7 linked regions of the Kluyveromyces lactis genome follow. The protein of the gene in region 4 binds, or shares a complex with, the protein of the main gene of each other region. Links are inferred from orthologs where the notes say so. Each region holds a gene or a part of one and is shown on either strand. Other genes may lie near its edges. The genes, in order: CDC11, NAP1, SHS1, KLLA0_C01650g, CDC10, CDC12 and CDC3.

Region 1 (3,074 bases), on a different chromosome or scaffold from region 4:
AAAACTGGGCAATTAAAAGACTTTCCTCGTCACTTAAACGAATATCTGTTGTCCCTATCTGGTTACTCATCATCTAAAAGCTTTTCCATCCCACATCTTCATACATGATGTTTTCTTGTCAGAACACGGCACACGCCTCCTGGCATGCTGTGTGAGATAATGTAAAGGAGATTTACTAGGTCATGGTACACCTGGTATCCCTGGTACCCCTGGTACTACCCATTTGGTGCTCAGAAGCCATCCTTCTACCGTCTTTTTCGTCTTATTTTCGGCCTCGAAGTAAGTGGCTTTTATATGGTTTTCGTTCGGGAATTTTTTTCTTAAATGAATGAGGTTTTGCTTGATCGTTAGGGCATCGATAAAGTGTAGCACACGACTAGCAGCCAGTAGCCTGAAATGGTTCGTAATGCTTTATCTATCTTATGGTAATAACTGAGGTATAGGTTAAAGAAAGAAACGAAATATGTAGTTCTATTTAGTGTGCAGGAAGGGACAACAACTTATTGTTCCAATTTGATTCCTTCCTGTTTCAATTGGGCTTCCTTTTCTAGCCTCTCTTCGATTTCTCTTAATTCTTGCTCTCTTTGCAGCAATTCCTGTCTCTTCAATTGCAATTCTTGTTGCACTCTTTCTTCGAAAACCCTTAATCTTTCTTCTTCTAGCTTGATTTGTTCTTCTCTTGCCAAGTAAGTGTCCTGGTTCGATGACGCGTTGTTAGAATGTAAAGAAGTCGAATCATTGTTCCCCAACGCAGATGGTAATCCATTGCCCCTCACAGATTCTCTACCAGATACAGCGGGTGATCCTAGGTATTCGTTGTTCGTGGTGCTGAAAGCTCTGTTATGAGTCGTAGTTCCTACAGTTGGCATCTCACCGGACAAGGCTTCAGTTCTGTATCTTTCGTATAGGATCTCATGAGTAAATTCCTTCATATCGTGTAAATGTGAAATGAGTAGAGTGTTCCTTAGGACGACGAAATCAGAGATGTTAGCATCCTCGACGTCAAGGGTTCCCCATGGATATTTTCTACCACGAATCACGGACCCGTCTGCAGATTCAAACACATCGTTGGAACCGATGATAGAGAAGGGCAGTAAACCTCTGAGATATGTGTTTGTTTGATAATCTTCGTCTGACGCGTCTTCCTCATCGAATGGGAAGTTGTAGATAGGTAGCGAATAATAGTCGATATCCTTTGCGATCAATTTCTTGTTCAATTTCAACTCTTCAGCGGTCAAGGAATCTGCTTTACTGATAACGGGGATCACGTTCACTAGAGTACCTAGTCTTCTGATGAATTCCACGTCAATCTCTTTCAATCCATGTCCAGTAGGATTGATCAAATATAAACAACAATGCACCCTACCATCTTTAAACCGAGGATTTCTCCTTACACGGCTCTCTTCCAACAAAATTTCATCGTACTGGTGACGAATGTAATCAGAGATAATGTCAAACGATGGAGAATTATCCAAAGAGTCGCCGAATCCCGGAGTATCAATGATATTCAATTGGATCTTAAGACCTTCTTCGTCTTCTAACTCAACGATTTCTTCCCTCAATTGCACATCAATCTGCGTATTTGTGTCCGTTGGTAACATAATCGTGGTAGAAGTATCTACCACTTTCTGTCCACATAGAGTGTTAATGAACGTCGACCTACCGCACCCAGACTGACCAACAACCATCACCGTGAACTGAATTCCTCTCTTCAAGTTCTTCCGTTTACGCAAAGCGGCAGATGCCTGAATAATACTTGCCATTTCTGTCTAAATTACAATTGTAGCAGTGCTTTTGTTTCCCAATTCAATACCCCGACAGAAATTAGGTGCTAATAAGACCTCTGAGCAGCTCTTCTGTTAATTGTGTTGTTTACGTGTTAGTTGTTTGTTTAAAGTTTCACGTTTCCGATCTGATTCTAAATTCGTTACTCTGAGGAATCTGGAATTTAGTATGGAGGAAACAGAGAAAGAGTAGGTATTCGACGGTGAAAGAGCATTTGATGGATGATAGAGGGGCTCAGCTAATTGAACAGAGGTTATAGATTGTTACTTGGAAGTCAGATTACGGAATAATCAATCCAGCGATGCACAATTGCCTTAAGAATGTGGATTTGAATGTTGACACATCCGTACATCACATACATATTTATCATTTAGGACGAAATTCGATTCAATTTCTCATTTCATCAAAGCTTTCTCTTGACTCATCTCGAATTGTGATGTGGAACCAGTTAATCATCTCATGTTCAAGACGATTTTATATTTAAAGGAACCCTTAAAGGGCATTGAAATAATTGTAAGAAGAAACTTTCGATAATTTCTTATCGATTGGTTATATTTGGTTGATAATTATCTAGTAGGGCAACTACACTATACTGTGATAAAAAGGAACTAGGTTTTCGCATTAATTTGATATCATGTCCGCTAAAAGAGTTGTTTTGATCGATAACTACGATTCGTTCACCTGGAACATCTATGAATATCTTTGCACTGAGGGTGCTGAAGTTTTAGTTTTCAGAAATGATAAGATTACTGTGGAAGAAGTTGAAGCATTGAACCCTGATATTGTCATGATTTCACCGGGTCCAGGTCATCCAGAGACCGATTCCGGGATATCAAGAGACTGTATCGCATTCTTCTGCGGCAAAGTCCCTGTGTTTGGTGTCTGCATGGGTCAGCAATGTATGTTTGATGTCTTTGGCGGTGAAGTTAGCTTTGCTGGAGAAATTGTTCATGGTAAGACTTCACCAATATTCCATGATGGAAAAGGTTTCTTTAGAAAAGTACCTCAAGGTGTCGCAGTGACGCGGTACCATTCGCTTGCTGGCGCCAAGGAAACACTTCCTGATGTGCTTGAAGTTAGTGCAAGAACGGAGACTGGAATTATTATGGGTGTGAGACATAAGAAATACACTGTGGAAGGTGTGCAATTCCATCCAGAATCTATCTTGACCGAGAGTGGGCATCAAATGATCAAGAATATTCTTGAAGTATCAGGAGGTACTTGGGATGAGAACGCAGCTAACTTGGCTAGGAATGAGCTCGGAAAGACAGCCAGCACTGATAAAGCGA
Region 2 (3,095 bases), on a different chromosome or scaffold from region 4:
TATTCTGACATAAAAAAGAGTGCGTATATGTACTTAGGTACTTACTACTTTTCGTATAAACCTTTGGTCACTAATGCATCATTGACCTTGGTTTTCATAAATCCAATGACATCTGCTGGGTCGTGCGCGCGGAACACAGAGGTACCGGCAACAATGACATTGGCACCTGCCTCGGCAGCAAGTTCGACATTCTGTTTACCAAGACCACCATCGACTTGAATGTTCAAATTAGGAAATCTAGTTCTCAAGTCCTTCACTTTGCTCATCATATCGGCCATGAATTTTTGGCCACCGAAACCCGGTTCGACAGTCATTACAAGAGCCATATCCAGGGATGGTGCCAACTCGTACAACACATCCACAGGGGTACCTGGCTTCACAGAACAGGCAGCCTTCATACCATGCTTCTTAATTAGCTTAACCAACGCTACCGGGTCCTTTGTAGCCTCGTAATGGAATGTGAACTGATCGCAACCGATCCTAGCAAAATCTTCGACCCATCTTTCAGGTTCACTAACCATCATATGACAATCGAAGAATGCTCTTGGTAACTTGGTGTCTGGATCGTTGTACTTTCCGATAACTTTACGTAGCGATTCGACAACCGGTTGTCCCAATGACATATTAGGAACGAAGTGACCATCCATAATATCGATGTGTAACCAATCGGCACCAGAGTTAATCACATTGTGACATTCACAACCTAATTTAGTGAAATCACTGGCTAGAATAGATGGGGCAATAATAGCACGAACCATGTTAAAATTGAAACTTATTATAGTTTTGTAAACTGCTGACCTTAAACTCGAACAGGTAATGGTAAATCGTATTCTATAATGAGCAGAGCAGACCGTTAATTGGGTAGTTGGTTCTTGTTTGAAAAGAATTCCCTGCTGCTTTTTCTAATTTTATTGCATTCTTTATAAAACTGAAATTCTGATATCCAAAGAAAGCGACTATTGAGAGAAAGAAGAGGGGATCAGGATTACTTCAGAGTATTTTACAGCTCAAGATTCATTATATAATGTACCGTTGATATCAGGAGTGCTTTATTCCGAGTTTTTTTACCAGGAATTGGTACGATTTAGTCCTTTGAATTGGCATACGGTTGCAGTATTTGCATGCTTCCGTGATCTATTTTAATATGTAAGGAATATATAAGAAGAGCATTTTTTAGCCAGAAAATTTTCTTTCAGTAGGAAACGTAACAGCTTGGAACATCTGATCGTAGAGGTAGTGGGCTATTTGTGATACTTGGAGTGTTGCAGCAGGATATTTGAACTACATTAGCTGTATACATTTGAGTGTATTTGGCAAAATAGTAAGGATCACATCATAAAAATGTCCAACCCTATCAAGACATCGAGGTCGAGTAAGATCGATAATGCACCAACGCCTCATAACACACCAGCTAGCGTGCTTAAGGATTCATATTTAAGGAAGAAGCAACAGCAGCAGTCTGACCAGGATCAAGATCAGGATGACGATAGCGAATACAACGAGAGTCCATCTTTATCCCGGATCAATGAAAAGTTGGAGTTCTTGAACATAGACGAAGAAGATGAGGGTGAAGAAGAAGAAGAAGAGGAAGAGGAAGAAGGCGATGAAGAAGCTTTCGAAAGACTCCCAAAAGCTGTGAACAATAGGATCTTAGCCTTAAAGGCTATTCAGTCCGATTTGTTCGAATTGGAGAAGAATTTCCAGCTTGAAATGTTGGAACTTGAACAAAAATATCTGCAGAAATACAAACCATTACACGAACACCGTTACGAGTTGATCACAGGTGATAAGGAAGCCACTGAAGAAGAAATCAAACGCGGGGGATCTTTGGATGGTGAAGATGAGCATGAAGAAGAAGAGCATGACCAGGAACCGGAGGAAGGTGAGGAAGAGATCGTTGGTGTCCCTTGTTTCTGGTTGACAGCCATGGAGAACTTACCAATGGTTTCTCAAAACGTGACAGAAGCTGACTGTGATGTATTGACATACTTGACGAACATCACTCTAGAGTATCTAACTGAGGGTAAACCAGGCTTCCAATTGATTTTCACCTTCGATAAAGAGAACGAATTCTTCACTAACGAAACTTTAACAAAGACATACTACTACCAGTCCGAATTGGGTTACTCTGGCGACTTCATCTATGACCATGCAGAGGGTGAAACCATTAACTGGGTCGATAATGACCATAACGTTACAGTCGAAGTGAAAAGACGAAAACAAAAGAACAAGACTACTAAACAAATTCGTACCATTGAAAAGCTGACACCAGTGGAATCGTTCTTCAACTTCTTTGACCCACCAAAGTCTCTGGATCCCGAAGAAGAAGACGATCTTGACGAAGAAGAAATCGCTGAACTTGAGAGTAGATTGGCTGTAGATTATGCTATCGGTGAAGAGATCAAGGACAAGTTGATTCCAAGGGCAGTGGATTGGTTCACCGGTGCAGCACTAGAATTAGAATACGGCGATGAACAAGAAGAAGACGACGATGAATTTGACGATCAGGACGGTGAAGAAGAGGAAGAAGAGGACGACTTCGCTAATAAAGATGCTCTGAAGAAAGTCCAACCTCCAGAATGCGAGCAATCCTGAAAGAGATTTTTTTTTTCACATCCACCGATATATAGTAAGCAGTGGTTATCAAAAGTATTTACTCTCTATCTAAACATCACCCTAAGCTGTGGCCTTGCATCAATCTACTCAACGCATGTTCCAGATACGGACGGTGCCTGGCATGCATACAATTTGTGCGCGGTTTTCCACCTGTTCTTATTTTAAGCAGGTGGAAATATATGGCCATAAGGTCTGGACATGCACATCATGTGGTGTCAAAGTCAAACGGAAGTAACGGTCTAACGGTCTGAACCCCTGAAGGCCCCGTTACCAGTAAGAAAAATGGGCTGAAAAGGCACAACTAAGAGCCCTAAAGACAGCAAAAGTGTATAGCAAAAAGAACTACGAGCAGATTACGAATGAAAGTACATAGGGAGCAAGTCTGTTTATTGCTTACTTTTTGGGTAATAGCAAGGAATGGTGACAAGACTACTGGCAAGGCACGAAATAATCCGTGGATCTAGAAACATATCTGATCT
Region 3 (3,326 bases), on a different chromosome or scaffold from region 4:
TATCTGTTGAAATCGCTGAAACAATTCGATATTTGATTTGGGTACGTTCGATTGTTCATCTAAGGGTACGATTGTCACTAGAGCATCGTAAAGTTGTGAGAGACTTTGGAAATATTGCATATGACGTTCGTCCAAGGGTTTCAGCGATATAGGAGATTGCTGATTCGGACTAATCGTGGAATTCAATAGCTCGGGAAGCTCCAAGACTTCTCCGTTGGATATCAATTGGTAACCCTTGATCAAAAATACGTCGAGCTTGATCTGATGATGCATGATGCCTGTCGGACTACTATGTGAAGTGCTCCCGATATCAGACATGGCTCTTCCAGTATGTGTACGTAGCAGGGGAGGGCCGATCTTTGAAGTCCGTAACAAGCAGTTCAAAGACCTTAAGTATGCTGCCGCTTCCGCAGATTTTCTCGCTTACTGTGTATTTCTTTCTCTCTTTCTCTCTATCTTTCGTTTCGTTAAGGTGCAACATTTCCACATTGCATCACCTTATGTTCTAGCAAGAACTAAAAGCGACAAAATTGCAAAACAAAGACGCATCTCATTGAACACATAGAGCCCTTCTGCAAGGGCTAAAATCCGAAGCCTTTCATATGTAGACCAAGGCAGTACCAAAGCTAGCCGGACCTAGATCGAAGATCGTTATCAACTTATAACGTAATCCACTGACGGACATATACATTCACATCACTGAGACAGAAATATAAGTCACGTGAAGAAGTGGCGCCATATATATGTATATATGCCTTAGTTCCCCAATACATAGACTAGTTACGATATGTGGTTCATCGAACTGTAACCATTTGATGTTCCCATGTCACTGGTAACTTTTGTCCTTGCCTTAGGTATCTTTGAGTGTCTCATTTCCCATGGCTATGTTCGAGCCTTTTAATCGGTGAAAAGTTTCGAAACGGTTAATATCACGTAAAAGATATCAATTCCATATTTAAATTTAGACGAGAATGTAATTTGACTGAAACAACAACGTCTTTTGATAAAAAAAGTGTATTCTATACGTTGCAGAGCTACATTAATCAAGTGAACCATTGAACGAGACGAGTTTCAATCAATTGGATAGGAATCATTGTACTTTGGCGATTCTATTTAGAATATAATTGGAAGTGAAAAGTGAAGCCGTTTGATCTTGGAAGCAATAAAAAGATGTCCGCTAGTCCTGTATCTCAGGTATTCTCACCAAGCAACAATGGGGTCAGTGTGTTCCGTAGAAAGAAGGAGAAGAGAGGTATTACTTTCTCGATGATGTTGGTTGGTGCTTCTGGTACTGGTAAGACCACTTTCGCTAACAATTTATTGGAATCTACCATTTTCCCTCATAGATATCAACAAGATGTTCCAGCTAGCACGAATAACGAGAATGTTAAGATTATCCAACCAACTAAGGTTGTCACGTTCAATTCGATGAACGGTATTCCCAGCTACATGTCGGCATTTGATCCAGCCTCGCCGTTTTTGGAACCAGGTATCACTGTGACGTCTACTGCCCTGGAGATCACGACGAAATCTAGTGAGGATATCGATAGCGCTACCCCTGAAAAGATCAATTTCTTTCTCACCGACACCCTGGGACTGGGTGAAAACTTAAATAATGGGATCTGTTTCGATGAGATTGCTTCATATTTGGAGCAACAATTTGATTCGGTACTCGCTGAGGAGACCAGAATCAAGAGAAATCCAAGGTTCCAGGATACAAGAGTTCATGTCGCGTTATACTTTATTGAACCCACGGGACATGGGTTACGTGAATTGGATGTTGAAATTATGAAGAGACTATCCCGCTACACAAATGTTCTACCAATTGTCGCTAGAGCAGATTCGTTCACACCTGATGAATTGACTAGGTTCAAGAAGAGAATTATGGAAGACATTGATAGATTTAACGTTCCTATCTACAAATTCGAAGTTGACGAAAATGAGGATGATCTAGAAACAATTGAAGAGAACAAGGCATTAGCGAGACTTCAGCCGTTTGCTATTATCTGCGCCGACCAACGCGATAATGCTACCGGTAAATACTATCGTGAGTATCCATGGGGTAAAATTGACATCGATAATGAAAACATTTCGGACTTGAAATTGTTGAAAAGGGTTCTCTTCGGGTCCCATTTGCAAGAGTTTAAGGACACGACACAAAATCTGTTGTATGAAAACTACCGTGCTGAGAAATTGGCGTCTGTGCCAGCCTGGGACATTGAAAACAACGAAGTTATAGATACTTCTATCAATGACGAAAACAATGAGGGTAATTCTTCAGGGTTGATGAAAGGGTTGACTAGAAACAGTACAGCTCCATCCTTGTCAAATTTCGCCTCTCTAATAAATACAGGAAAGTTTAAGTCTCAACAATCACTTGCAATTCCACCTCAATCTGAAACCCCATCTACACCACGTCTAACCGGGGTAGATGAAGGAGATGAGTCTCGCGCTTCAATCTCTGCCAGTTCACAGAAATCTACTCCTGCCAATATTCAAACTTCTCCAGAAAGAACAAAGTTACGGAATATTTCCGAAAATATCCCATACATGCTTCAGCACGAGCGCATAGTAGCAAGGAAACAAAAGCTTGAAGAATTGGAGGCACAATCTGCCAAAGAGTTACAAAAGAGAATTCAAGAACTTGAAAGAAAGGCTATTGAATTGAAGATGAAGGAAAAGCTACTAAGACAAAACTCACATAGTCAATCTCAAGAATCTATCCAGACTAATACAACTAAACAAAATTCAACTTCTGGAGGTGCTTACATTAAGAAAGAGGAAACCTATAACGATTTAGCTTCGATAATCAGCAAAAAAGAATGAATTCAGTCTTGATATCTTTCTTTGGCATTTTTGTAAGTCGAAGTGTTTGGTTCCTGAAACGATTTCATATGTAATTTAAACAATATTGATTATTTTGTATATTGCAAACGGTCACGTCTAGATTGATCTGCTACCTGTTTCCAAATTTGATGAGTTTAAGATGGTGATGTAAAAATCAGAAAAATATACGTACTGTTACAGGTATATATATATATATAATATAATAATGAGTTAAGGTATTTTCGTGCCACTTATCAATAAATGGAATTTATCTGTTCAGATGACATAGTATTATGAGATAAAAAAGATTGGTGAAAAATTTATGTTCATCCAGTGCTTCAAGATAAAAAATAGCTAGTGTAACTGGAGAGAACTAAGAAAACCGAAAAATGCAAAATAATGTTCCCGATGGCAATTAAAAACATCAAGAAACAACATTCATTCAGCGACGATGAGAAAAGGCACTGGGGGAAATAATAGGAAAAGAGATTTAACCGAAT
Region 4 (4,230 bases):
TTGTTTTGTGGGGCTTTTGTGTCTGATCGTTTGGCTGGTAAATGCCAAGCCCTAATGCTCCATTCTCGTCGGCTACGTCATGAGATACCTGCAATGGAGGTAACGACGGCAAGTTAATATCCTTATCATTAGTACTTTGTTTTCTGGCATCAGTAGATTCCTTTCTGGCGGCAGAAGCTAGTTTTCCTTCCTCTGTTTCTGGTACTTCGAACAGCTTAGAATTTTCATCAAGCTCTTCAACGGTCTCAAACATGAATTCTGGTTCCTGTGCAACCTTGGATGATGAGTATTCAGGTTGGCCAGGTAGAGGTTCAAGATAATTATCGTTCTTCAAATGATCCACAAGGTTCGTGAATGAAGTCTTAGTTGAATACAGTGACAATACAGAAAATCTTTTGTTAGAGGAAGAGAAATGTTTTGACCTCCTTGTAAATTGTGGAACTTTGACTTCTGAGAGCTTTCTGGGTTCAACTTCGTCATCTCTGAGAGTTGCAACTGCTTTAGCATTCTTGGGTAACTTTTGAACCTCGTACTTTGCAGTCTGTTCAGAGTACTTTCTCAATTGTTCTTGTCTCTCTTTAGATACTAAATCCTTTTGGGCTTTCTCTAATTCAACGTTCAAGTTAAATTGCGATCCAAGGAATTTGGAGCGTCTAATGGTTTCCAGAATAGTCTTTTCCTTTGACGCTTGGTCATCTTCTAGGTTAGCTGACAGTCTACTTTCAGCAGCTATGATACCAGGGTCAAGTCTGGAAACTGGTCTCGTTTGTAGAGAGAAGTTTCTTGTATTGATTAGTTCATTGATGTCATTCTTTATACCGAATGTACTATCTCTTTTGTTTGCAGTTCTATCGGTCTCTATCGGAGCAGAGACAGATCTTCCATTGGCTGTGTTTCTTTCATCCGAGCTCCCCTGAACAGCTTCATATTCCGCCTTGAGCTTAGCAATTTCGTCTTCCATTTGGTCTTGCAATTCCTTCTGTCTTTCAGCTCGCTTTCGTTCTTCTCTTTCAAGTCTTTCTTGCTCCTCCCGCTCGATCCTTTCCCGTTCCTTTCTTTCAGCTTCCTCCTTCTCACGAGCTTCGTTGACTTTTCTTTCCAACTCTTCCTTCTCTTTCCGTATTTGTTCGTATTTCTCATGCTCGAAAATCTGATCCATCAATGTAGCAAAGTCCTGACTTGTCCTTTTCGTTTCCTTTTCGATGTATTCCCATTCACTGTCTTCGGAAAGTTTTGCATACGTTGCAATCAGTTTCGTTGTTATAGATCCACGCTTCATATTAGGCAGTAGAGAGAATCTTTTGGATTGTCTCTTTGATTGTCTTTTGTAGTCACGAAGCATTTCTTTAGGGACGGGTGGAGCTGCACTATCGTTTATCCTGGAAACTCTTTTATGAGCAGCAGGGGTTGGAGAAGACGAATTGGAGACTAGCTGTGAAATTCTCTTGTTTGAAGGGAAAGTCTTACTCAAACGTTTACCTATTGAGCCGTTTTTCACTGGTGAGCTATGTTGGCTACTCAGTTTTTGCATTGATACAGGTCTTTTGTGAGAAGATGAGGCAACTATGATTGATGTTCTTTTCTTCTTTGGAGTGGTGACTGGGGAATCAGATTTATTAGGAGATGGTAAAGATCCAACGTACATCAGCGAATTCGAAGAGACAGATTGTTTCTTTTGTAATTCTTGTTGCTTCAATTGATCTTGGTAATTATCGTGTTTAAATCTATGCAGTAAAGCGTAAAAAGTCTTTTCTAAATTAGCACCAGGTTCCATCAACTTCGTAATAATGTCTTCCTTATTTCTACCATGCCATAGAACAACCAAATTCTGCAAAATAGTTTCATCTACGCATTGATTTCCTCCTTCTAATGATAGTGGATTCAAATAGGTATCTTCTCGAGGTAAGTTTCTAATGGATTTAGAGTCCTTAATGCTTGGGTATTTTCTTAGAAGTGGATGCTTTAGGATCTCTCTTGTCTTGATTCTTTGTTCTGGATCTACTGTTAAGATTCTGGCGATTAAATCTTGGGCTTCCGATGATATTTCATCATCTCCAGGCATTTCAAATTTCCCACTTTGAACCTTTAACAAGAGATTTCTGATATTGCCATCTTCTTCATCAAATGGCAACCTACCGGTCAGTAAAGCGTAAAGAATAACACCACATGACCAAACATCGGATTCAAAACCGTGATATGGCAAGCCCGAGACAATTTCGGGTGCCGCGTAATGAGGCGAACCACAACTAGTTTCCAGTAATTTATCTTTTGATTCTAGTGCTGCCATACCGAAATCGGCTAGTTTGACATTGAATTTATGGTCTAATAAAAGATTTTCAGGCTTCAAATCACGATGAACTATACCTAACGCATGGCAGTAAGAAATACCGATAATTATCTGTCTGAAAAATCTGACTGCCTCATTCTCAGGTAATGGGCCCCTTTCCACCAACAAGTTGAATAACTCACCTTTTTCAACGTACTCTAAAACCATATATAAATCTTTTGAAGTTTCCCAAACATCGTATAATCTCAAGACATTAGGATGATTCAACAACTTCATAATGATAATTTCACGTTCAATACCATAGGGTAAGACATCAGGATCGTTACCACCAATCATTGTCGACCCTTGAGCGTTGAATATTGATTTTGATATAATTTTCACAGCGGCTTGTTGTCCTTTAGTTTCATTATAGGCCATTACGACTTTACCTGTTGAGCCAACACCCAGTGTCGAGCCCAACTTCCACGGGCCAATTGTGTCACCCTTTAACGTCGTTATTCCGTTACCGTTCATTTCTGATATATTGTGATAGTATTGGCCAAGCTACAAGTTATAATGTTCCCCAGTCGCGTAAAGGTTTGAATGATAATTTCTTATGAGAATGAATGTGGTGTAATATATCGTTTTTATCAGAGTGAGATTCGCTTGCCTAGATAAATAACTCTCTATGTCTGATATCTGGTACCGTCTAGTGAATTCAATTGGTCGTGGTTGAAGATGGTTGAAGTGAATTGAAATTATTTTTTTCACGATAACTTTTATGGTTTAATCTACTTCCAGTTTTATGTGATGAGCCTTGTCTCAATTTCTCAGTATTTCCCTCAGGTACAATTTTCACCAAAGAAAAACACAATTAAACTTCACGTCTTGGTATATATGTATGCCAAATAACAATGGAAGAAAAAACCTACCAAATTCAAAACGAGTGTGGCAGAAAACTATTAACAAGACAGCTAATATTTCTTCCACTTCTGGTAAATTATTCTTTCTAAAATCATTTACTGTAACAGTTATACTAATTGAAAAGAATGTTCACCATACTAGGAAGGAAAATGACTTGAAAAAAAAAAGACCTAAAAACGCGAAACTTGAAGCAAACCTAGCTTTTCGAATCGAAATAGGAATACAAGGGTGGTAATTTGCAGGAGGTCTGTTATAAGCCCTGCCATTTGATACCCAATCTCTTTTTTCTTTCCATTCGGATTTCATTTCTAATTCCATACCGACTGTTTTCCCTGGGGAAATGCAGATAAGCTTGCGGGCACTTTTCTTGTTGTTCATCCAAAGTAGTTTTAATATTCCAGATACATAGTCAGTTATTATAACATTAGATAGGTTACATTGAAAGATAAAAAAGGATGGGAATGCTGTAGTTGATCCCACTTACTGCTGCAAAGTACACTCCCAATTACAAACTACCACCAATTTGCTCTCTGTGAGCTTCAATGATATCGTTATCTTCCATGTCCAAATCTTCAGGGGTCTGATCTGGTAACACACGCACACCGTCGTAAAGGAATCTTAGGGATTCAATCTCTTTACCTTGTCTCTTAGCAAATGCCTCCATTAATCTTTTTAATGGAGTGGTCTTTTTGATCTTGAAGAAGATCTCACTGGATCCATCCGAAACCTTCAAGTTAATATGTGTTTCTGGCTTAACATCCACCTTTTGTTCTTGTTCTTCTGACATTTCAAACTGTGGTTATATATATAGGCGTTGAAGAATGGAGAAACAGGATTCAATGAATGTTTAAAGACTCGCTTTTTCTTCTTCTAACTCTCGGCAGTATAGATTGAGCTTTTGTTTGTTAAGGTAATTTGTATTGTTGAACTAATTCCTGGCCAAAAAAAAAAAATACTGTAGTCCTGAAATTCGACTGTCAACTGACATGGAAAAGAGCTCTAACAAAAAGCAGTTTCCTTCTTCCTTTTGAGAGCATGAA
Region 5 (2,835 bases), on a different chromosome or scaffold from region 4:
TGTGATTTGATTCTATGTAGAGTTGATTGTGATGAGATAATGAATCTAACTATTACTACAGGAGGTGAATGCTGACACTGAAATAACCTGCTAAAATCTGGGACGTGTATTCGACATATATATACAAGGTGATGGGGGGATTGAACTTGATAAAAGGTTGTTTTTTTTTAGTCATTTCCGCCGATGTGTTATTTTGTACTGGATTCAATGAGAAGAGGGTTTAATGTGATCCTTCTTTCTTCTCAGATCTCTCCACTGGCAGAGTTTTCATACGTCTCTCCAAATAAGCATCCTTGTCCTTCAGTTTCTTTGTGTATTCAGTTTCTTTTCTACCAGGATACAAGATACGCTTGTCCAATTCAGACAACTCTTGTTCTTGAATAGGCTCCACTTGTTCAACGTTAGTGTGAGCCTTCCAGATGTGACGGATTTCACCCACACAATGCATACATAGCGTATGTGCCTTCTTGTAATGCCCACATGAAGGGCATTTGTTCAAATGGTTGATCATTTTCAGCTGTTTGTCTCCAGGCGCATATAACTTTTGTCTCTTCTTCTGATGCGACACTTTCTTCTTGGGCACAGCTAGAAGGATCCCGTTATTCGTAAAGTAATCCGCTTGAGGTGAAGACTTTTCACGTTGGTTTCTTTCAAGCAATTCCAGCAGTTTCTGTGGCAATGCAGTACCAGCTGCTGGAGTGCTCCAACGAGGCAATATTGATGTCGCTGTTTCCAGCAACACTCTGCTAAAAGATTCCGTTACAGCTCCAAAAGACATCCTCTAATTATTTTCGCTGCTGGTATGATACTATGATGAAGAGGAGAAAGGATAAGTTCAATCGATAGGGACAGATACTAGTTTCTCTAGGTCGCTCGTCTAACTCTGTTTGAACTTCGTCAATTCAAATTGGTATTGACGAATTGGATTATAAGAAAGAATTTTCAACATTACCCTGATTTGGTGATGATCTGTGTCCCTTTTTCGATTTCGATGAAAAAGACGAAAAATCACAAAAACTAAAAATGGAACTCGAAACGAAATAAGTGTGTCAACAAAATATAAGTAAGGAATCAGATCTTGTATTCTTTAGAATAAGTAAGATTGTGATTACTTTTTTTTGACGTTTCTGTGGTTAATTGCTACTCATTGTTTGAATTTTTGTTATTGCGGTTAATTGTTTTTATAACTTAGAGGTTTTTCATTATTTTAACTTCCAAACACTAAAACACGTAAAGCTTTGATCATTTGGATTTGACTTATATACATCTCTACTACGCGAAAGGAATTATTAAAGGTAAAATACACGCATAAACAAAAACAATGGCATCTAGTACTGCTGCAGCTGGTATGACTTCTTCTTCTGATGGGTTGGCTTTGGTAAATCCATCTTCTTATGTTGGGTTTGATTCGATTACTTCACAGATTGAACATCGTTTGTTGAAGAGAGGATTTCAATTCAACGTTATGGTCGTTGGACATTCTGGTCTGGGTAAGAGTACTTTGATCAACACTTTGTTTGCATCTCACTTGGTTGATTCTTCTACTGGTAAGGACATCACTCAGGAACCAATTAGTAAGACCACCGAGATCAAGGTTTCAACACATTCTTTATTGGAAGACCGTGTACGTTTGAACGTGAACGTGATTGACACTCCAGGTTTTGGTGACCAGATAAATAACGACAAAGTTTGGGAACCTATTGTCAAGTACATCAAGGAGCAACACTCTCAATATTTACGTAAAGAGTTGACTGCTCAACGTGAAAGACACATTGTAGACACTCGAGTACATGCAGTGTTATATTTCATCCAACCTAACGGTAAGGGTCTAACAGAACTTGACGTTGCTGCTTTGAAGAGATTGACAGAAATCGCTAATGTTATCCCGGTGATCGCTAAAGCTGATACTTTGACGTTGAATGAGAGAGCTAACTTCAGAAACATCTTACAAGAAGAATTTAAAAAGTACAATTTCAGAATCTATCCATATGATTTAGACGATCTGACCGATGAAGAAGTGGAACTGAATAAAAGTATAAGATCTATTATTCCATTTGCCGTTGTAGGATCTGAAAAGGAGATTACAGTGAACGGTGAACTAGTAAGAGGAAGAAAAACTCGTTGGGGTGCCATCAATGTCGAAGACATCAACCAATGTGAGTTCGTATATTTAAGAGAATTTTTGATCAGGACACACTTGCAAGATTTGATTGAGACTACAGCTTTGATCCACTACGAAAGTTTCAGATCCAAGCAATTGATTGCTTTGAAGGAGAACGCCAACGCTAGAACTTCTGCACACATGTCTCAGACATCAACAACAATGCTGCGTTAATAGGTGGAAAAAAGAGCCGGGAAGACTTCTAGAAGAAACGGCGTCTTTATTTCAAAAAAATGTAGCGTTTTACCGGTACGCAAGAGCTGTGCCAATTATTTTTTTTGTGTTCTTCACTGGTTTGAATCCTGCCCTAGTAAAATGTCGCTTCATTTCCATATATCTTATTGATAATTGGTAATGTCTCTCTATTTCTACTTGTCAAACGTCTCTTAATCTCTTTTTTATATATCACATTCTCTTTTTAGGATTTATAAACCCCATTAGTTAACTATAATACTACATCACGTATAACCAACTGGTAATTAAAGTCTAAGAAATTGGACGGTGCTGTTGTCCTCCCATTTTTGTACTGAGCAGATGTATGCGAATAAATTAGTGTAGACAAGCTCCAGAGTAATCTACAATGTATCATCACTGCATATTAGTGTCTACATGAAGACATTCAGTGTTTAAATTTTATTCCAGATACTAAAATGTTCTATTTTGTCATATCCTCT
Region 6 (3,033 bases), on a different chromosome or scaffold from region 4:
CTGGTTCCGGTTGTATGGCTGCTTTGGATGCTGAAAAGTACATCACTGAATTAGAATAGATACACATTGATAAATTTGGTGAGATTCCCATATCAAAGCTTTGATATTATGTCTATATCTTATATATAAATATCATCGCGACTACTCCTTTAATTGAAATTTATGTTTGTTCCTAGTTTCTCAGCAGGAGGAAGATTTTCTTTCATTAGTCTATAAGGCTCACCTTTCCACCGCTAGTCCAATATCTTCTATACTCTCCCTTCCGAGTAGAGAAAAAAAGAATAAATAATGATAACATATCATCTTTACAGCTTATATTGATATATAGGAAAGATCAATAGAAAGTAGTTTAAAATAACAACTGTGTGGACATCGTTCTACAAGGTTCAGAAATGGCATTATTCAATGAGAATAATGTGAGAATGGAAAATAACATAAAAATTGGGTTGTTAAAAGGAATATAAATGGGAATGAAAAAAACAATTTCGAACCATTACACCCTAGCGTTTTCTTAATTTCAATGTGGCCACTTGATCTTCTAATTTCTTTACTTCGGCTTGAATCTTTTCCAAATCACCGTTCAGTTTAATTCTTTCATTCACAATGTTTTGTTCCCACTGTCTGAATCTTTGTTCTTCGGCCTTAACTTGATCAGTGAAGTATTTTTTTAGTGCGTTTTCTTCTTCTTTGAACTTTGGATTATGTGATAATTTTCTTGCTGGTGCAGCAACGAAGTTGTTCGCCGATTTTTCTCCTAGTTCGTTATCGTTAGACGATCCATTCAAATGAGATTCCAAACGTAATCTCCTATAGGTTTCGTAATGTAGCTCTTGAGTGGATAAGACAAGATCTAACAGATTTGTTCTCAACAACAACGATCTCAATTTGCGGAAATCACAGTGTTGATCATTCTCTACTTCCACTAACCCCCATGGATATTTTCTTGCAACAACTTTGGTACCACTACCGTTATCGAATTGTTCTTCTGAACCAACAATTGCAAATGGCATGGATTCAATTAGTTGTCTAGCATGTTCCATAGCGGCTGCATCATCCTGTGTCTCATTCAAAGGTGGTGTAAAGATACGAATCTCTTGTGCCTCAATGACCTGTCTAATTCTAAGCTTGAAATCTTGTAATTCCTGACTTGTCAAAGTATCAGCCTTGGCGATTACGGGAATTAAGTTAGCACGAGTGCTGATCCTCTTCATAGTTTCAATATCCAATGGTTTCAAACCATGTCCTGTAGGTCTGATAAAGTACAGTACAGCGTGTACTCTTAGATCAAATTTCACATCTCTGTATGGTTGTTGTTCTTGACGCATATAGGAATCGTGTTGATCGTCTATAAAATCAATGATCTGTTGCCACGATTTATCGTTATTGATGTTGTCACCAAACCCGGGAGTATCAATTACATTCACCTTCAAGGTAAAATTCTTCTCCTCTAGTTCTGCACGTAATATATCAATCTCCACGGTCTTCCTAATTGGCCCTTGCATCGAACGGCCTGTATGGGAGTCAGATGGCTTCAATGTTGCCTGGAACAACGTATTTATGAAGGTAGTTTTACCCAAACCACTTTCACCGCATGTTAACAAGGTGAATACTCCACCTTGTTTGGATACCAGCTTGTAGATCTGATTTGGTAAATTCGAGATTCCTACAAATTCTTCCGTGGTCATTGTTTCAAAGTTCCGTTGCAATTAATTGGTACCAATTATACTATCTTTTGCTGAAGCACACAATGTTATATTTGCTAATGAACAGAAGGTCAGATTGTTACTGCAGGTAGCTACGATAACTCCTGTAAACAAACTGTAATTCCAATTTCAATTTTAATATAGGCTTGTTTTAGCCAGTATTCTATATTTGAACAAAGTTTCGAATTGTTTCGTGTCGAGGAATCCTAGGTTCCCAGGAACATTTCAGAGATCTCTCGAGCAAAGAAGGGTAGGGTAATGAGAAGCGAGTCACGTGCTTTCCAATGTATATTCTGTTATTTCTCGAACCGTGGATCTATATAGTCATTAACATATATCAAACTGGTACATAGAAAGATAATCACTTTGCGTTAAATAACGGCAAATCTACTCTCACTGCTAAGTAGTGCCTTCCTACCTTTAAGGTATCGCTGTGTTACCAGCTTCTACATTTTGTAACTATGAGTATTATTTCCTTTACGAAGAAGCTTTTGAAGAGCCCGCCTAGTTTGACTCCTGCAGAATTGCACGAAGTTATCGTTTACATAATTGATACGCTATCGAAGGAATTTACTGTGGAAGCTGTGGTACCGATTGCCTCTTTCCTTTCAGTGTTGAGAGCAACTGGATTGGATCACAAAGCTGAATATATTGCAGCTGCTGCCTCGGCTGTGTTGAAGTTTTCAACTGTTGTCGATTCAACGACCTTGACTCATACTGATGATATTGTCTTAGATATCGTCGGTACAGGTGGTGACGGCCAAAACACTTTTAACGTGTCTACTTCTGCAGCCATTGTCGCTTCGGGCATCCCAGGCTTGAAGGTTTGTAAACATGGTGGGAAAGCATCGACTTCCAATTCAGGTGCTGGTGATTTGATCGGAGTTTTAGGTTGTGATTCATCTAAGGTGACTGCGTCGACTTTACCTAAAATTTGGGATGAAAATTCGTTCACATTTCTATTGGCTCCTTATTTCCATGACGGTATGAAACATGTCGCTCTGCTCAGGAAAGCATTGGGTATCCCAACAATATTTAATGTCTTGGGACCGTTATTGCATCCTGTATCCCATGTTCAAAAAAGAGTTCTAGGTGTCTTCTCCAAGGAATTGGCACCTGAGTATGCAGAAGCAGCAAGACTTATCTATCCTGACAGTGAAACATTCGTCGTTTGGGGTGAAGTTGGTCTCGATGAAGTATCACCTGTAGGGAACACTATTGTTTGGCATGTGACCTTGAATGGTACCGTCGAATCATTCTCTATAAACCCGTCAGATTTCGGTTTACAAGAGCATACTCTTGCAGAATGCCCATCGTTGGGCCCTCGCGA
Region 7 (3,394 bases), on a different chromosome or scaffold from region 4:
ATTCTTCGAAATCATGAGAAGCCTGAGAGAAATTTTCGCATTCTAGTGAGACTTCACCCAACAGGTCATAACATTCAGATAGTTTTAATTTTAGATCCTCGTTGTCTGGTGTTTCTTTCAAACTGGATTCATAGTATGACCTTGCAAGCTCTAGAATCTCCCATGCGTTTTCGAAATCATCTTTGTCAACTTCCTCTTGGCCTTCGACTTGATCTTCTTCCTCTTGCTCCTGATCTTGTTTTTGTTCTTCCTCTTCCTCTTCCTCCTCCTCCTCCTCCTCCTCCTCTTCCTCTTCCTCTTCCTCTTCCTCTTCCTCCTCCTCTTCTTCTTCTTCTTCTTCACCAAATTGAATCAGCCCAGGTCCTTTCGAGGCAGAATCATCTTCGTCTTGTTCTTCGTTATGTTCATCCCTCTTAACATTAGATCCCATACCAAAGACATCAGACCTGCTCAAAGCCAATTGGTACAATGCCTTACCATACAAAAACAAATATTCAGGGTTTGGATTCTCATTCTCACTGTCATACAATTGATTTAAATCTGCATAAGAATCGACTGCAAGTTCATAATTCTTACCAGCATAGTGCTTGGCTCCTTCTGTCAATAATTTATCAAACTTGTCCGACATTTTAGATTCAATTCTACGATAATGGACTGAAATTGTTAAACAATTGATTTGCAGTGTGTGATTGCTAACAGCAGCAATCATTAAAACACGCAAACAATTTAAATAATGCACAGAGACGCGTAATATTCATCGCATTGCGCAATTGCTTAAAATACATGTCGTTATCAAAGAAATCAAACCGGTGAATCCAAATCACGTGATTGATTTAAAACTTGTGTAAATTTACAATAACCGGGTAACTGTTGACACGTGACTTAGGAATTCTTACGCCTCGAATCTAAAACACCTTGCTTGAATACCGTTCCATTGCAATGGACTCTACACTGAAAGAAAAAGACAAAGGCCGTAAATACTAGCCAATATATACATCCAAAAATAGGGCAGATGATATTGAAGCCAAATCAACTAAAGGAGACTTGCTTAAAGTAGTTTTACGTCTGTATGTACTTCTTATTTCTGTGCCTATTCAGTATCTTATTTTTGCTTCTTTTCTTCCTTTTCTATATTGACAGATCGATGTCTCGAAGAAATTTACAAAGAACGCGATTTAAAACCTAAACCACAAATATAGAAATTTAAATCGAGTAGATTATCTGGTTTATTATTTATAATTTTATACACGTAAATTCGGTTTTGATCTGGATCAACAGCATACACAGGTGTCAAGTCTTACTTTGAAAGTTGTTTAAAAGCCTCGGTTTAGGAGTGCATTGAATATCAGGCTAGCCAACAACCATAGCAGTGTGTGAAAGAAAACTGGAAAATATTATTATCCACAATGGCAGAAGTTATTAACGATACAGTCAAGTCAGAAGCTATTTCATTGAAGCATGAGGACTCCGTAGCTACTGGATTGGACAGCGTGAATCAAGACAACAATGTTGAGCAGACTTTTTCAGATGCAAATGGTGATGAAATCGCGCCAGCTGTGCAAGAATCAAATGGTACATTGGGCCAAGTTTTGCCCGATCAGCCAAACCTCAAGGTTGTTCGTCGTATCATCAATGGATACGTGGGCTTTGCTAATTTACCCAAACAATGGCATAGAAAGTCAATTCGTCGTGGATTCAACCTGAATTTGTTATGTGTTGGTTACAAAGGGTTGGGTAAATCTACGTTGATAAATACGTTGTTCAACAGAGAGTTGTACGAGCAAGACGCTCTATCCCATGGAGTACAGTCTTTAGATTTGGGTGATGGTAATGGCAACGATGTCAGTGTCAAGAAGGAAAATGGTGAAAACGGTCCAGCAGAAGAAAACAAAGTCAAGATCGAAACCGTTTCAGCTGAAATCGAAGAAAATGGAGTGAAATTGCAATTGACCGTGGTTGATGCACCAGGATTTGGTGATTCTATTGATAACACAGATTCATGGAAGCCAATTGTGGATGAAATAAATCGTAGATTCGACCAATATCTCGAGTCTGAAAACAAGATTCAAAGAACTACTTTGCAAGATAACAGGATTCATGCTTGTCTCTACTTTATCGAACCTACTGGTCATGGTTTGAAGCCGTTGGATTTGGAATTCTGCAAGCAGGTTCATTCCAAATGTAACTTGATCCCCGTTATCGCCAAATCTGACATCTTAACTGACGAAGAAATTGTCACTTTCAAAGCCACCATCAAGAAACAACTAGAACAAGCCAACGTGCAGTTGTTTGAACCACCTCAATATTCTATGCTGGGAGATGAAACTTCAACTGAAAACATCTTTGAAAAGATTCCTTTTGCCATTGTCGGTTCCACTGAACAAGTCACTACAGAAGACGGTAGAAAAGTTAGAGGTAGGGCTTACCCATGGGGTGTCATCGAAGTTGACAACACAAAACATTCTGATTTTGTATATTTAAGAGATCTATTAATTAGACAATACTTGGAAGAATTACGCGAAAGGACTAACAAAGTATTATACGAAAAATATAGATCTGAAAAGCTATTAGGATTGGGTATCAAACAAGACAACAGTGTCTTCAAGAATTTCGATCCAGAAACTAGACAAAAGGAGGAAAAACAACTACACGAAGTCAAACTAGCTAAATTGGAAGCTGAAATGAAGGCAGTATTCCAACAGAAAGTTGAAGAAAAGGAAAAGAAGTTACAGAAATCTGAAGCTGAATTGTTCGCTAGACACAAGGAATTGAAGGATAAGCTTACAAGCCAACTAAAAGCGTTAGAAGAAAAGAAGCGTCAACTTGAACTTTCCCTTGCTAACCAACCAACAAGCTCTCCAATTCCTGCTAAGAAGAAAGGCTTCTTACGTTAAGAAATGAGTAAGATGATAAATATAGTATAGTCTTCGTGAACTTCATCTGTATTTCACAAGATCTCCAGACATGTCTTTATTTTCTTTACATCCGTCTATCTTTTATCTAAATGTATAACTACGAATCTCAATAACTAAGCCAGCTGAAGCTAACTAATCAACACAATGTCAACGAGTGTAATGCATCACCATACAGTACATGTAACAAAGCAAAACGGTTAAGTGCCCAGCTAGCTGCGACACAACTAACGTAAATTTTGTGGGTCTGTTAATGCGGTTAAATCAAGGTAATTCGCACAGTTTAGTAGGGAGATTTCGACTTGCCTTTTTTCTGTCGCTTTCGGTCGTTGAGAGATTACTGCTGTACTCGACTCTTTTACTAAAGCCCAAGAGGGAAAAAAAAAAAGGAAAGTCAATAAAGGTAAAGAAATATGTATGTGGATGTAGTAAGTGCAACTCAGTATGATAATATGTAAGCGTTCAGCATAAATCTCTCGAAA

Evidence for each region.
Region 1: KLLA0_C01650g (region 4) and CDC11 share a complex: the UniProt entries of both Saccharomyces cerevisiae proteins name them as parts of the GIN4 complex. The link is inferred for Kluyveromyces lactis from reciprocal best matches to the Saccharomyces cerevisiae genes GIN4 and CDC11.
Region 2: KLLA0_C01650g (region 4) and NAP1 share a complex: the UniProt entries of both Saccharomyces cerevisiae proteins name them as parts of the GIN4 complex. The link is inferred for Kluyveromyces lactis from reciprocal best matches to the Saccharomyces cerevisiae genes GIN4 and NAP1.
Region 3: KLLA0_C01650g (region 4) and SHS1 share a complex: the UniProt entries of both Saccharomyces cerevisiae proteins name them as parts of the GIN4 complex. The link is inferred for Kluyveromyces lactis from reciprocal best matches to the Saccharomyces cerevisiae genes GIN4 and SHS1.
Region 5: KLLA0_C01650g (region 4) and CDC10 share a complex: the UniProt entries of both Saccharomyces cerevisiae proteins name them as parts of the GIN4 complex. The link is inferred for Kluyveromyces lactis from reciprocal best matches to the Saccharomyces cerevisiae genes GIN4 and CDC10.
Region 6: KLLA0_C01650g (region 4) and CDC12 share a complex: the UniProt entries of both Saccharomyces cerevisiae proteins name them as parts of the GIN4 complex. The link is inferred for Kluyveromyces lactis from reciprocal best matches to the Saccharomyces cerevisiae genes GIN4 and CDC12.
Region 7: KLLA0_C01650g (region 4) and CDC3 share a complex: the UniProt entries of both Saccharomyces cerevisiae proteins name them as parts of the GIN4 complex. The link is inferred for Kluyveromyces lactis from reciprocal best matches to the Saccharomyces cerevisiae genes GIN4 and CDC3.

What each region holds. Positions count from the first base shown.
Region 1 is NC_006038.1:1,258,307-1,261,380, forward strand, and holds CDC11 (septin CDC11), read right to left. Parts: upstream 1,764-3,074; coding exon 501-1,763; downstream 1-500. Other genes in the region: TRP3 (bifunctional anthranilate synthase/indole-3-glycerol-phosphate synthase), read left to right, coding at 2,420-3,074. UniProt on the Saccharomyces cerevisiae protein: Septins are GTPases involved in cytokinesis that assemble early in the cell cycle as a patch at the incipient bud site and form a ring approximate 15 minutes before bud emergence, which transforms into an hour-glass shaped collar of cortical filaments that spans both sides of the mother-bud neck.
Region 2 is NC_006041.1:1,342,743-1,345,837, reverse strand, and holds NAP1 (histone chaperone NAP1), read left to right. Parts: upstream 1-1,341; coding exon 1,342-2,595; downstream 2,596-3,095. Other genes in the region: ribulose-phosphate 3-epimerase RPE1, read right to left, coding at 45-758. UniProt on the Saccharomyces cerevisiae protein: Acidic protein, which assembles histones into an octamer (in vitro). Involved in the regulation of the localization and the function of the septins during mitosis. Involved in the function of B-type cyclins.
Region 3 is NC_006042.1:1,938,519-1,941,844, forward strand, and holds SHS1 (septin SHS1), read left to right. Parts: upstream 1-1,170; coding exon 1,171-2,826; downstream 2,827-3,326. Other genes in the region: GCR2 (Gcr2p), read right to left, coding at 1-318. UniProt on the Saccharomyces cerevisiae protein: Septins are GTPases involved in cytokinesis that assemble early in the cell cycle as a patch at the incipient bud site and form a ring approximately 15 minutes before bud emergence, which transforms into an hour-glass shaped collar of cortical filaments that spans both sides of the mother-bud neck.
Region 4 is NC_006039.1:126,689-130,918, reverse strand, and holds the start of KLLA0_C01650g (uncharacterized protein), read right to left. Parts: upstream 2,801-4,230; coding exon 1-2,800. Other genes in the region: SUMO family protein SMT3, read right to left, coding at 3,696-3,977. UniProt on the Saccharomyces cerevisiae protein: Serine/threonine-protein kinase which regulates the localization and the function of the septins during mitosis. Phosphorylates SHS1.
Region 5 is NC_006042.1:1,182,910-1,185,744, forward strand, and holds CDC10 (septin CDC10), read left to right. Parts: upstream 1-1,321; coding exon 1,322-2,335; downstream 2,336-2,835. Other genes in the region: MRPL32 (mitochondrial 54S ribosomal protein bL32m), read right to left, coding at 221-778. UniProt on the Saccharomyces cerevisiae protein: Septins are GTPases involved in cytokinesis that assemble early in the cell cycle as a patch at the incipient bud site and form a ring approximate 15 minutes before bud emergence, which transforms into an hour-glass shaped collar of cortical filaments that spans both sides of the mother-bud neck.
Region 6 is NC_006041.1:1,924,713-1,927,745, reverse strand, and holds CDC12 (septin CDC12), read right to left. Parts: upstream 1,686-3,033; coding exon 501-1,685; downstream 1-500. Other genes in the region: KLLA0_E21605g (thioredoxin-disulfide reductase), read left to right, coding at 1-59; TRP4 (anthranilate phosphoribosyltransferase), read left to right, coding at 2,165-3,033. UniProt on the Saccharomyces cerevisiae protein: Septins are GTPases involved in cytokinesis that assemble early in the cell cycle as a patch at the incipient bud site and form a ring approximate 15 minutes before bud emergence, which transforms into an hour-glass shaped collar of cortical filaments that spans both sides of the mother-bud neck.
Region 7 is NC_006040.1:348,291-351,684, reverse strand, and holds CDC3 (septin CDC3), read left to right. Parts: upstream 1-1,406; coding exon 1,407-2,894; downstream 2,895-3,394. Other genes in the region: HIF1 (Hif1p), read right to left, coding at 1-709. UniProt on the Saccharomyces cerevisiae protein: Septins are GTPases involved in cytokinesis that assemble early in the cell cycle as a patch at the incipient bud site and form a ring approximate 15 minutes before bud emergence, which transforms into an hour-glass shaped collar of cortical filaments that spans both sides of the mother-bud neck.